3 linked regions of the Coturnix japonica genome follow. The protein of the gene in region 2 interacts with the protein of the main gene of each other region in a biochemical or structural test. Links are inferred from orthologs where the notes say so. Each region holds a gene or a part of one and is shown on either strand. Other genes may lie near its edges.

The links.
Region 1: the proteins of ITSN1 (region 2) and SOS1 form a complex in vitro, tested with the Homo sapiens proteins (2 studies listed by BioGRID, with this or other methods). The link is inferred for Coturnix japonica from reciprocal best matches to the Homo sapiens genes ITSN1 and SOS1.
Region 3: the proteins of ITSN1 (region 2) and DNM1 form a complex in vitro, tested with the Homo sapiens proteins (2 studies listed by BioGRID and IntAct, with this or other methods). The link is inferred for Coturnix japonica from reciprocal best matches to the Homo sapiens genes ITSN1 and DNM1.

The regions. Positions count from the first base shown.
Region 1 is NC_029518.1:14,500,256-14,504,660, forward strand, and holds the start of SOS1 (son of sevenless homolog 1), read right to left. Parts: upstream 2,944-4,405; 5' UTR 2,827-2,943; coding exon 2,740-2,826; intron 1-2,739.
Region 2 is NC_029516.1:94,931,954-94,935,599, reverse strand, and holds part of ITSN1 (intersectin-1), read right to left. Parts: coding exon 3,613-3,646; intron 2,603-3,612; coding exon 2,443-2,602; intron 1,595-2,442; coding exon 1,389-1,594; intron 725-1,388; coding exon 642-724; intron 1-641. UniProt on the Homo sapiens protein: Adapter protein that provides a link between the endocytic membrane traffic and the actin assembly machinery. Acts as a guanine nucleotide exchange factor (GEF) for CDC42, and thereby stimulates actin nucleation mediated by WASL and the ARP2/3 complex.
Region 3 is NC_029532.1:3,763,714-3,767,359, reverse strand, and holds part of DNM1 (dynamin-1), read left to right. Parts: intron 1-799; coding exon 800-811; intron 812-1,936; coding exon 1,937-2,107; intron 2,108-2,250; coding exon 2,251-2,492; intron 2,493-2,887; coding exon 2,888-3,106; intron 3,107-3,646. UniProt on the Homo sapiens protein: Catalyzes the hydrolysis of GTP and utilizes this energy to mediate vesicle scission and participates in many forms of endocytosis, such as clathrin-mediated endocytosis or synaptic vesicle endocytosis as well as rapid endocytosis (RE).

The sequences.
Region 1 (4,405 bases), on a different chromosome or scaffold from region 2:
ACTTCCTTTTCTTGAAGCTTATCGTCAGGATTGCTGTCTTTTGTCAGCAACTGAGGGCCTCTGTTACACTTTGTCTTCTGATGCTTCAAAATAACAGTGACCAGGCAGAGAAGCATCTCACTGCACATCATTTCCCTCCTAATTGAGTGCACTGAAGTCTATCTTGACAGGATCTGAAGGAGAATGGGAAGAAAAGGGATTACATTATGATCTGAATGGTACAAAAGCTGCTTTTTTCAAATGCAGCTGTTGAATGCAAAGACAGCGCAGCACAGACTCCATTGTTAAGGCCCATGTCTAATGAAATACATGGCACATGCTTGTAAGGCTTCATTGACAGAAGAAGCAATTTATACTTACTACACGCTTGCTTTTGGTAACAAAAAGCACAGAATCAAAATAAGTCATTGGGAAAGACAAAACCCTTTGCAATTGCTCAACAATACCTATTTTTCAGGAAGTGATTCTAGGGGTGCTGTTCGAGCTCCACGTTACAAGCCAACATGTATTTACGAAAGAGTAATGGCAGCCTTCCCCAACAGCTGGGAATGCAGCACGCTGGTATACATGCTTCAACGTTAAACACCATTCTCCTAATCAGCAACGGTAATTCAACATAGGTCTTCCCAAGTCTTTCTTCCAGCTATGCAGAAGAACGCAATGATCCTGTTTGGGTACCCAGCAGGTCTCAAGGAGGAATTCAGAAGCGTTATCCACTACCCAGGAGCATCAGAGCATGGTCAGCTCAATGGAGGCAAGAAGGGAAAATCCTCCTTGGTTCATGACGGGATGCACATCAGCACCTGATAACCTGAGCACAGAGAGCACGTGCTGCAGCAATTTAGCAAAGGCACACAGTGCTCTCCCTCTGGGAAGGTTCTGCCCTTTGGTCTTGCTGGCATTCACTGCCACATTCTCTCTGTTTTACTGGTCCCACACACAGACTCCAGGAGTGACTTGCTCTAAGAGGCAGAGCATGGGGACAGCCCTGAGCTACCCACTGCAGGGCTGCACCTGTCACCTGAGAGACAACAGACAGCTGTCAGAGCAAGCACACCGCAGCTCTCCTGGCTGCACCTGATGCTTAGGATAGGTTTGCTACTTTATGAGGCTGTTATCAGGACTAAGCACACTAGACAAGATAACTTGTACCTGTTTAAGTTAGTAAAATGCTCCATTTGGCCTCTTAATTAATGAAAAAGCTAGTAAGACAACAGCTGTATGTTCTCATCTGTCATTTGGTTTTCCTGTAACTCCAGAATCTGGCTTTTCAGCAAGGAAGGTGACAATACGGATGGGTTCTTTATTTCTGTATTTATGGGGACAGGAGCAGGAAGCACCAGAGGACTACACTACTGGAGCATGCTGGGCAACAGCACAAGAGGAGATAAGAAACAGGTGTAAACCTCATGAAAGCAGAGGTTCAAAGCACTAACATCTGCTCGACAGTCACACATCTGAGCATCAGAGCTTCAGAACTAACTCCACCTCAGCCCAGCTGCCCCACTACCACAGAGAACACCACACCATGAAACCGAGACAACTGTACCTCATGGGCCCAGCTGGCACCCGTGGAAGCTTATCTCCATAGGCTGCTGTTTGTGACTTCTGACCCTTCTTCTTCCTTTCACCTAAACAATTCATCCAGCTCCTCCAGCAAGCGTTCTTAATCCAAGGTGTCCCTGTGAATGTCTTTTGCTCGTTAGGATGAGATCTTGTGCTCCCAACACAAAGAATAATTCCAGGCTAAATTTTGCCTTGAGATCCTCAGTTCGCGTTCTTCTCCATTACTCAGCATCAACCCTTGCTCCAAGTCTGACAAACTGTCATGCCTCAGAATGCCCAGATCAAGCTCACTCCTCTGGAAGGTGCCTGGAGGCCGCAGGTGGCTCCAGCCCCCAGCTGGTGGCCATCCACACACACACAGAGGTGCAGGGAGAAGCTGTGAGCCGCACAGTCTGCTCGGCTGTGTGCTTCCAAAGAAGTGACTACCAAGAAGGACTGAAGCACAAACACAGCACGCTACGGGGATGACAAGTGAGAAGACTTCCAGTAACTGGATGGGGCTCAAAGAGCAGGCCCAAAACACAGGGTGACATGTCACAAGAGGAAACTGGGAAGAAATGCTGCAGTGGAACGACTGCAGTGCCTGAGACCTCCAAACTGCGATGGGGAACGAGAGGTCACCCGGCCCTAGGAGCAGGTCCTTCACCCAACAGCTGCCGTTCACAGCTATGGATACACGCAGCCATAAGAAAGCACTGCGGTGCATCCAAGCACCCCCCCGCTGCCAACCCGAGGCCGGTCCGGGCGGCAGCGTCAGACAGCCCCGTTCCTCACGTCCTGCACTTCCCGGGCCCGGCTGCAGGAGGACGGAGCGGCGCTCACCGTTCCTCCCCTCTTCCACACAACGTCGGTCCGCGCCTGTCAGCTCCACCAGCCCGAGGATGACGGCGTCCTACCGGATCCTACCGGCGGGGAGACGTCGGCGTCGGGTCCGGCTCAACCCGGGGCCGCTCCGTGTCCGCAGCCCCGGCTGTCACAGCGCCGCCGGGCCCGGCCGGGCGCGCTCCCCGGGCCGCTTCCGGAGCGGGGAGAGCGGGGAGAGCGGAGAGGCCGGGCCGCTTCCCACCCCCAACCCCCCGCTGCAGGCGGCACGGAGAAAGGCACGGGGAAAGGCACGGGGAAAGGCCCGGTGCGGCCGGCAGGGCCGAGCGCCGCTCCCACTTCCCCCCTCACCTTCTTCAGGGCGGGCACCAGCAGCCCCCGCCACTTGGGCGCGTTCTCCTCGCTGAAGAACTCGTAGAGCAGCGGCTGCGCCTGCATGGTGCCGCCGGGCCCGGCCCGCAAGGGGCGGCGGGCAGGGCAGGGCGGGCCGGGCTCGGCGCGGCGCGGAGGATCGATAGGCCGATAGGCCGCGGCGGGAGGTGCCGGGCGCCCCTCAGCAGGAGGCCCGTGGGCCCCCCGCCGCCGCCGGCAGCCCCGCAGCGGCGGGGGGAGGCTGCGGCTGCCGCATTCCCCGCCCGGCTCTCGGTGGTCGCCCCGCGGAAGGTCGCGGGGGCGGCGGGAGCGGGGTCACGCGGCGCGGCGCGCGGGCCGCGAGGGGCGGGGTCGGGAGCACGGAGCGAGAGCCGCCGCCTCCCGCTCTGCACTGAGACACCGCCACACACCGACCGGCGGAGCGCGGAGCATGCGCACTGACACAACGACCGCAACGCGACTGCGCAGCACCGACGCCGCCGCCGCGGCCTCCGGGTCGGAGGTGACCGCACGGCAACGCTCCTCCCGCGCGCCGCCTGCGGGTGAGGCCGGACCGGGACTGAGCGGGCGGCCCCTGCGGGGTGTGCTGAGCAATGAGTCCATCACCTCTATGGAAACACAGGCACACCGACCTGTCGCAGCTGGAAGGGCACGCTGCTCTTTAGGATCGTGCCGCTCCCTGTCGGTCACACAGAGCACAGCTCAGCGCTGCCCTCCGCTCCCTGTGAGGAGCTGCAGCCGCCATCAGCCCCCATCAGCTCCACACTGAGCAAACCTCAGCCGCTCCTCACACAGCTTTGGCCTGCAGGACTTTGTCCATCCTTGCAGCCCTCCCTTGGGCACTAATAATTTCGTTCACCAACCAGAACCCCACAATCTCTATCAGCACAGCTGCTCTCCAGCCTCTCACCCTGCACACAGACCTTGGGCTGCCCAACGCAGCTGCAGAATCCAGCACTTGCTCTCACTGAATTCATGCTGCTGGTGATTGCCCGGCCCTCTAATCTGTCGTGATATTTCTGCAAGGCCTCTCTGCCCTCAAGGAAAGAAACAGCTCCTCCTCATTTAACGCTGTCTGCAGAATATTGTACCTTCAGGTTTAATCTGCTTCAGAGGGCGCCATGCTGGGGGGAAGCAGTCCCCGGCCCCTCTCTCAGCCAAGTGCCTACATACTGACTGCTTGCTCTGGCCCCAGCCTTGCTTCTTGAGTGGCTCATGGAGATGCAGGCAGGAGATGGCGCCTGCCTCTGGGTATCTGCTGGCAGCTTCACTGCTCCTGGGGAAGCTCTGTGGCTTGTCCTTAGAAAGACACAGGCACCTCCTGTGGGCTGAGGTCAGCGATAAACAAACACCCTGTTCAAGCAGCACAAGAACAGATTGAGGAGAGGGGGGGAAATGGCCAAGAAAAGCACAGCTATAACACTAAAGATGCTCCGTCTTTGTGGGGCCTGGCAGGGATGTTGGAAACCATCATGCCCTGTTAGGAAAAACGAGGAGTTTGCAGACCAGAGAAGCCAGCCTGCTCATAGGGAAGGTGACAAGTGTGAAACCTCTGCACGTTGCTGGAAGGATCGTTTGGGACCAGCATTTCAGCAGAGAATGGATAGGGCTCCTCAGAAAGAACTGCCTTTACCCCACAGCTCTG
Region 2 (3,646 bases):
TGACTGTGATTAAGTTAACCTAGCAGACATTGCACTGAAGTGGATTAGAGTGCCCACAGTCTGTCACCGCAACTTGTATGGAGACATTAACCTCCAGTTGAAGAGTGGTAACAAGCAAGAATACAAGTCTTTTAAAATCCTCCGGAGACCTGACAATTATCTATCTGTCTGCACCCCATATGCTCTGTCCTTAAAAATGAGGGGTAGCTTTGACCATACAGATCACAACTTTCAAATAAGGAAACTACCATCAGTTACAGAGAGCTTTAATGGAACAGTGGAAATGAGTATTGAGTGAAACTGAGACATTCATTAATAATTCCTCGCATCATGAATTACCTATGAATTACAAATAAACACAGCATGAAAGTGTTTTCCTGGCCCTCTGCAAAAATCCATTCTAAACAGTTCCACGGGGAACTGAACTGATACCAAAATATTTACATATGGAACACTATAAACTGTAGAAGAAATGTTCAAATACTGTTTCTGCATATAAAACATACACAAATTTTTACAAGCCTGATATTAAAACAAGCCTGTTTTGTTGATCCTGGGCTCATATTTTGCTAATACACAGACTGCTTACATTTAATCACATAGTAAAATAGTGCTAATGCCATCCAGTCTGGAATGCTTACCTTCACCTGACATAGTTGCTTTAGCTGCTGGTGATGCTACTCTTTTCAGACTAGCAGGACTTTCTGAAGAACCAGAATCCATGCTTTACAAGAGAATAACAGTTATTTAAGAAATTAAATCTCTTCAGAAGATGCTTAATGTATGTTAAAAATAAAACACATACATGTATCCTTAAGCAATTCCCTAAATTTTCTAATAAACAGTAAACTTACAAATTACATCTTTAAAGTATGATGGCTAGTTGTAGTTATAATTAAGTAACTGCATGGAATACACCATTTGTTGCCTCTCCTTATCCGTCAGAAGAGAAAAAAATCTAAAAACATTCTAATCAGTATCAGTGATGTTAATGCTGACCTCACCTTTCACAGAACTAGATTCTAATTGTTTCATCCTCCAAGAATAATGATAAGTGATTAAGCTCTGATGTATTGTATTTTATTCTGAGAAAAAGATAAGCTGAAACTTATGCAGCTATAACTCATAATGTCAAAATAGTAATTTCTTAGTTGCAAGCGACTTTTAATTAAGACTGCTGATTAAGCTTTAGGTCTATTGGTGGTGGTGCGTAGTACAAGGAGAAATGAGGTCAGCTTACATATTCCTCATCTGAATTTTCAGAGACGGGAATAAAAACCTAACAGAGAAGAGTCACATCAAAACTTTAAAACTCAAGTGAGCAACTTTTCACATTAATTTAACCAAAATAGTATTGAAGTAAAGTACAGTATAAGCATATACAATACCTTGTCGACTTCCTAATGGGGCCTGAAATAAGCTTCACATATGACTTAGGAAACCACCCCTTTTGTCCTTGAACTTCTCCAAACCACCACATATCTTGCTGCTCTAAAACTGTGATGACATCATTTTTGTTAAAATTAAGGTGGTTGTCTTTTTTTGCTCTCCAAGGATACAAAGCCTGTGCTTGAAGTCCCTCCACCTTTTCACCCTAATGCAATTTAGAGAAAAAAGAGAGAGAATTCAGCCTTGCAACACTTTTCATAAAGGCAGCTTCTTAAGGAGTTACATTCTTATACAATCTATATAGCCCCAAAATATGGTGACTTCTCATCTGTATAAAGCAAAATATGTCAGTCAAAATTACAAAGTAATACAAGAAACGCCCACAGCCCTCCTACATTTCTTTCTGTTAATGTGTAATCTCTACAATGCAAGACTATTTGGGAGTTTGCTTCTTCGTAAGTTCAACAATTAAGATATAGATACAATAAACCGTGACAAAGTTATTTTGAAAGAGTTTGAAGTAAATTTTATGGAAAACTATGCTTTGCTGCTAGTAATACATTGCATATTCCTACTTTTTAGTTTTGCTCAAAGACACTTAGGTATTTTGCATTTATCAGAACAACACATTAGCTTACAAGAACGATGAGCCAAGTTGAGGAAAGCACAGTCTCTTACAGATGGACTGAATTCATCTTATGTGAAGCTTAATCTCATCTACACCACTTAACCATATAATCCACTCTGGAACAAACACTGTTGCCATGTGATTTAATAAAGCCCAAAGGAAGTGATTCAAAAGTAGCACCCAGCCAAAATTTTAAGATGGGACCACTGTAGTTCAAAAAAGCCAGCAAAGAACTGCAGAAGAACAGCTGCTTGTTTGTGTTAGATTCTGCCACTGACTTTGTTAATGGGTGTATTCTAATACTTTTATCACTCTAAACTGTCATAGTTTGCACACTCAGGGAAGGATTTCAATTGTAAATATTCTCTCTGCTATCCAGAAGTTCATGCTGGCTCAGAACAGTTCCAGTGAACACAGCTGCTCACCTGACCCAATACAGGAGAGGGAGACGATCCTGTAACAGTGGCAGGGGTGAAGGCTGATCTCTGCCGCAGCTGCCCTGCACTGGGAACAGTCAAAGACGGCTGAGCTGCCCAGGCATCCCAGTTGTCTGTCTCTGGTTTCTCATTAGTGTTTGCTGGCCATCTGAAAATAAGTGAATTACATTATTCCTACTGTTTTCAGGGGAGTAAAAATGCTCATGTGCAAATAAATAAATTCAACATTCTTGGTCTATTTCTTGTAATTCAATATTCCATGAGTGATTAGCAGCTTAACTCTGCAGTGAAGGTTATGCAAACAAAGAAAGTGTTACAATAAATATATTTCTATAAGGCAATCTCTAAGAATAGTTAATTGTTCATTGGTGCTTATTTATGGCCAACCATTTCTGTAATTTAGTTTCATTGTTTAGGTGTGCCCCAGTACAATGAAAATGTTAAGTACTGCAATCTATATTACATACAGTCACTGATGGCTCTCACATGCCTCTGTGTTATGCCTCATAATGCTACTTCAAATCTTTAACTCTTTTCTTTTGCTTAAAATTATTTTCTACTGACTTTTTTAACTCTAGAGGTAGTTTTAACACTACTTCTTATCCTCTTTATGCTCTTATATTTTAAAATGTCCAACAAGTCTCATGATCTATATCTCTGCCTCAAAGTACCCTCTTAGATTATCAAAATTCAGTGAACTCAAGGAGTATAAGAAAATAATCCAACTTAAATCTTCTCTGCCTGCTTTCTTTGCCTGTTTCATGTGCTCTTAGTTGAGTAATCAGTTGTACACCTGGACTATAATAGTGCCAAAAGGCGATAACTAACAAAACTCTTTTCATGTCAGGGACAGCATTACTAATTTTATATGAAAAACATGAAAATGTGTATTATCTGCCTAGATAGGATAGGAGAATGATTCTAGTTTTACAAGGCTGCAATTGTAACTATTTACTACAGAAAAATATTTTACTTGTAATACGTTACTTTGTAATAATATATATATATATATATATATATATATATAGTGTAATTTACTTTGTAATATGTTACAAAACATTTTTCTTTTGCAATCTGTGTACTTTGTTTTAACTACTTATCATAGTCCAGTCAATTAAAAAGTACACACTTGAGGCGATAATCACTACCCAAACATACGTTGAACTGAAGTCTGCCCAGTTGTTGGCAGTTG
Region 3 (3,646 bases), on a different chromosome or scaffold from region 2:
TGCTATGTGGTGTGTCTGCTGTGCCCAGGCACCATTGCTGCTTGGTATCATTTACTGTACAGTATTGTAAGGAGCTTCCCAGCTTCCCTGTTCCTCTTCCCTTAACCTCGTCAGCATTCTACTCTGCTTTATAAGTGTTTTAGAGAACTGTTCTATAAGTTCCTGTTCCAAGTTTTTCCTGTTTTCCTGTTACTGTGTGAGAGGAAGCGGCTATAAATAGTTCTCCCATTTAAAATGTGATAATTGCTTATCTGTTTGTATCTGCTGCTCCTAATAAACGTCTTGCATCCATCTTTCCTGTTACACTTGAAGGTAGGCTGTGTTTCTGTCAAAATGTGCTTCCTGACAATCTGATGTGGTATTTGAGCCACTTCAGATTGGCTCTGAACCAGGCTGGGGCTCTAGGACATATATTCATAAAGGACATGTGCCACCTATTGGTGTGCAATTGGAGTGGCGTGACAAAGGAGCACTGGTCTCTAGTTTTACTGTCTCAAAACCTAATGTAGGGGGTAATGAGTAACCACTGTAGGTAAGTGTTAATTGCCCTTTATTGCTCATAACACAGTTTCCTTTGCAGAGCATCCCATTCTGGTTTCTAGTTTAGCTAAGCAATAACATGGTTACTCTTCCAGAGTCACTTAGGTATTAATACACTGTTAGTGGGATTGGTTTTCTGTCTGCTCGGTGCTATTTTAACATCTTCTCCCAATTCTAAGACCAGCTAAAAATCTTTTTTCATTTTTGTCCCTTTTTTTGTTTTGATTTTTTTTCACGTGTGCTCAAACTGACCTGCCAGGACAAGGACAAAGTAAGTCTGACCCTCCCTGTGTTGCCTCCTGGGGCTCCCACTGTATTTTAGCTCTTTTTTCCTTTGGTCACTGTTTTCCAGGAGACATTTGTTTCTCCCCTCTTTCTACCTCCTGTTGGATGCTGCTGTTTGTTTCTGTTCTTGATCTGAGTTTTCCTAATTTTTTTCCCCTTTTTATTTATCCTTTTTTAATATGATTTCTGGATCTTGTTGGAAATCTATTTTTGTTCTTTTGACACTTCTTTTTTTGAGTTGTCCTGCTTCATTTCCACTTCCTTTAGCTTATGTTTCTCACTAAGGCCTTCCATTACTTCATTATGCGAGATCTTCCTTGGGAAAGCTCAGATAGACAAAGGAATTTGCTCTTTCTGGTATCTTTTGTTCCCCAAAGCAAAAGCAGATCAGCAATTTCCTGCAATACTGCAAATCTGTCACTGGGATGGTTTAAAGAAAAGCTTTTTCCTTAAAATCAGGTTTCTTTGTAATAAACATTGGCCTGTTGCTTTGAGATTGATCTCCAATGGCTGAGCATTGGCAATTGCCTGCTGTCAGACAAACCTGCTCCTGGCAGACGGGACAAGTATCTCCTGCTTTGTGCAGGAGAAGAGGATTTTCAGTTGATGTTCTGGAAGGTTTTCTAGGTTATTCTTCCTGCTTGCAGTCATCTCACCTCCCCGTATCTGTTTTCTTGTTTGTATAATGATAAGGATAGAGTGTGTAGGAGAGCCTTAATTTATGGTGAGTGATTCTCAGGTCTGAAATGAATCTGGGTGTGCGAAGCACAGCTCAAATGAAGAACCTCCCATGAGGCTGTGAATGCTAGAAGTCAAAAATACAGCTTTGGGTATTCACTGGAGTCGTGGCCTGTGGACATTGGTTGGGAGTTGATGCCTTTCACCTTCCATGGGGCTGATTCCTACTAAACGAGCATCTTTAGTGTTAAAGTTTTTCAGCTCTAGAGAAAGGTTTACAAGCTGTGCTGTGCATCGACGGTCACAGCTCAAAAAACAGTTTCCTTGCATGCTCTTCCTGCATGTTCTCCCCCTTTTCTTTACTGAACTGTTATGGAAGAGGTAATTTTGTATGGTGTTTGAAGAACTGTTCTGCTTCTGCCTTTCCCTGCAGGCCAGTGAAGCGGAGGAGAATGGATCAGACAGTTTCATGCACTCCATGGATCCTCAGCTGGAGAGACAAGTGGAAACGATCAGGAATCTGGTGGATTCCTACATGGCAATTGTCAACAAAACCATCAGAGACCTCATGCCGAAGACAATCATGCACCTCATGATAAACAATGTACTTATCACCCTGACTGGTAGAGATGGGGAGAAACAGGGAGGGGGCAGAAACCTGAAGGCAGCTTGAAAGGAGGTTTGGGGTGGGATGGAGCGTTCTAGCAGATGCTGGCAGCTGATTCCCTCTGTTCTTCTCTTTGGTAGACAAAGGACTTCATTCATTCAGAGCTGCTGGCAAACCTGTACTCCTGCGGCGACCAGAATACGCTGATGGAGGAATCAGCAGAGCAGGCTCAGCGGCGTGATGAAATGCTGCGCATGTACCATGCCCTGAAAGAGGCCCTCAACATCATCGGGGACATCAACACCAGCACTATCAGCACCCCAATGCCCCCACCGGTGGACGACTCTTGGCTGCAGGTGCAGAGCGTACCGTCTGGACGCAGGTACCAGAGGCTCAGGGGGAGAGCCCCGCAGACCTGCCCGATGCCTCTTGGGGCTAGCTGGGGCCTCCCACTGAGACAGAGGGGATTCTCTGCCCCTCTTCTGCCTGTGGATGGAGAGTTGTGGGTATTTGTGTGGGGAGGCTTCTCTGCCTTGAAAGCTGCATCTTTACAGAAGGTGTGGAAGCAGACTCTTAGATATTCTTAGGTTAGATGGGGCCTGAAGTAGCTTTGAGGATAACCTGAAACCTGACGCAGCTCTTGAAAGCCAAGAGTTGTGCTTAGAGTGATACGGAACTAAAGAAGGAACACTAAAGGCAGCATATGGTGCCATCAGTAGTGATGGGGAGGAATCCCAGGCCTGTCGTTGCAGTTGAATGTCTCTGTTTGTTTGTCAGGTCTCCTACGTCCAGCCCCACGCCGCAAAGGAGAGCTCCCGCTGTGCCCCCCGCCAGGCCTGGCTCTCGAGGTCCAGCTCCTGGGCCACCTCCTGCTGGTGGGTCGGCGCTGGGTGGTGCCCCCCCTGTGCCCTCCAGGCCGGGTGCCTCTCCTGATCCCTTTGGGCCCCCACCTCAGGTTCCTTCTCGACCTAATCGTGCTCCTCCTGGTGTCCCCAGGTAAGTCCTGAAGTGCAGATCCAGGCAGGTGGAATGCTTGGTTTGGGTTCAGCCTTGGGCTGTCTGAATTTGATCCGTAGGCAGGAGCATCATTGGCCACCCAGGTACCATACAGATGGTACAGTGGCCTCCTCTCTGAACCCAACTCCATGCACAGACTGGGGGAAGAGGACCTGGTACCCAAGAGCTTTAATAAAGCAATCATAATTCTTCTGCTTGCAAGTAGTAGGTGGTCACCAGAAAATCACAGGGCTAGGCTGACAGCATACCTTTGAAGGCAGTTCCCCTCTATAGAATTGCCCAAAGCCTGTAGTTGCTCTTCTCCTGGCAGAGTTTTTTTTCAAGGTGAAGCTAGAGAGGACCTTCATCAAGGACACTGAGATGCTTTTTTGTGAGGTGAATATTGCGATAGCACTGGCAGGGAAGCACTTTTTGTAGATGTTTTTGTTGTTTCTGCAGTCAACTTGAATGTTTTCCAGCCTGAAGGGCTCAGATGACGCAGCTTTGCTTTCCCATTAGGAAATGTAACTCCTGTCCTGT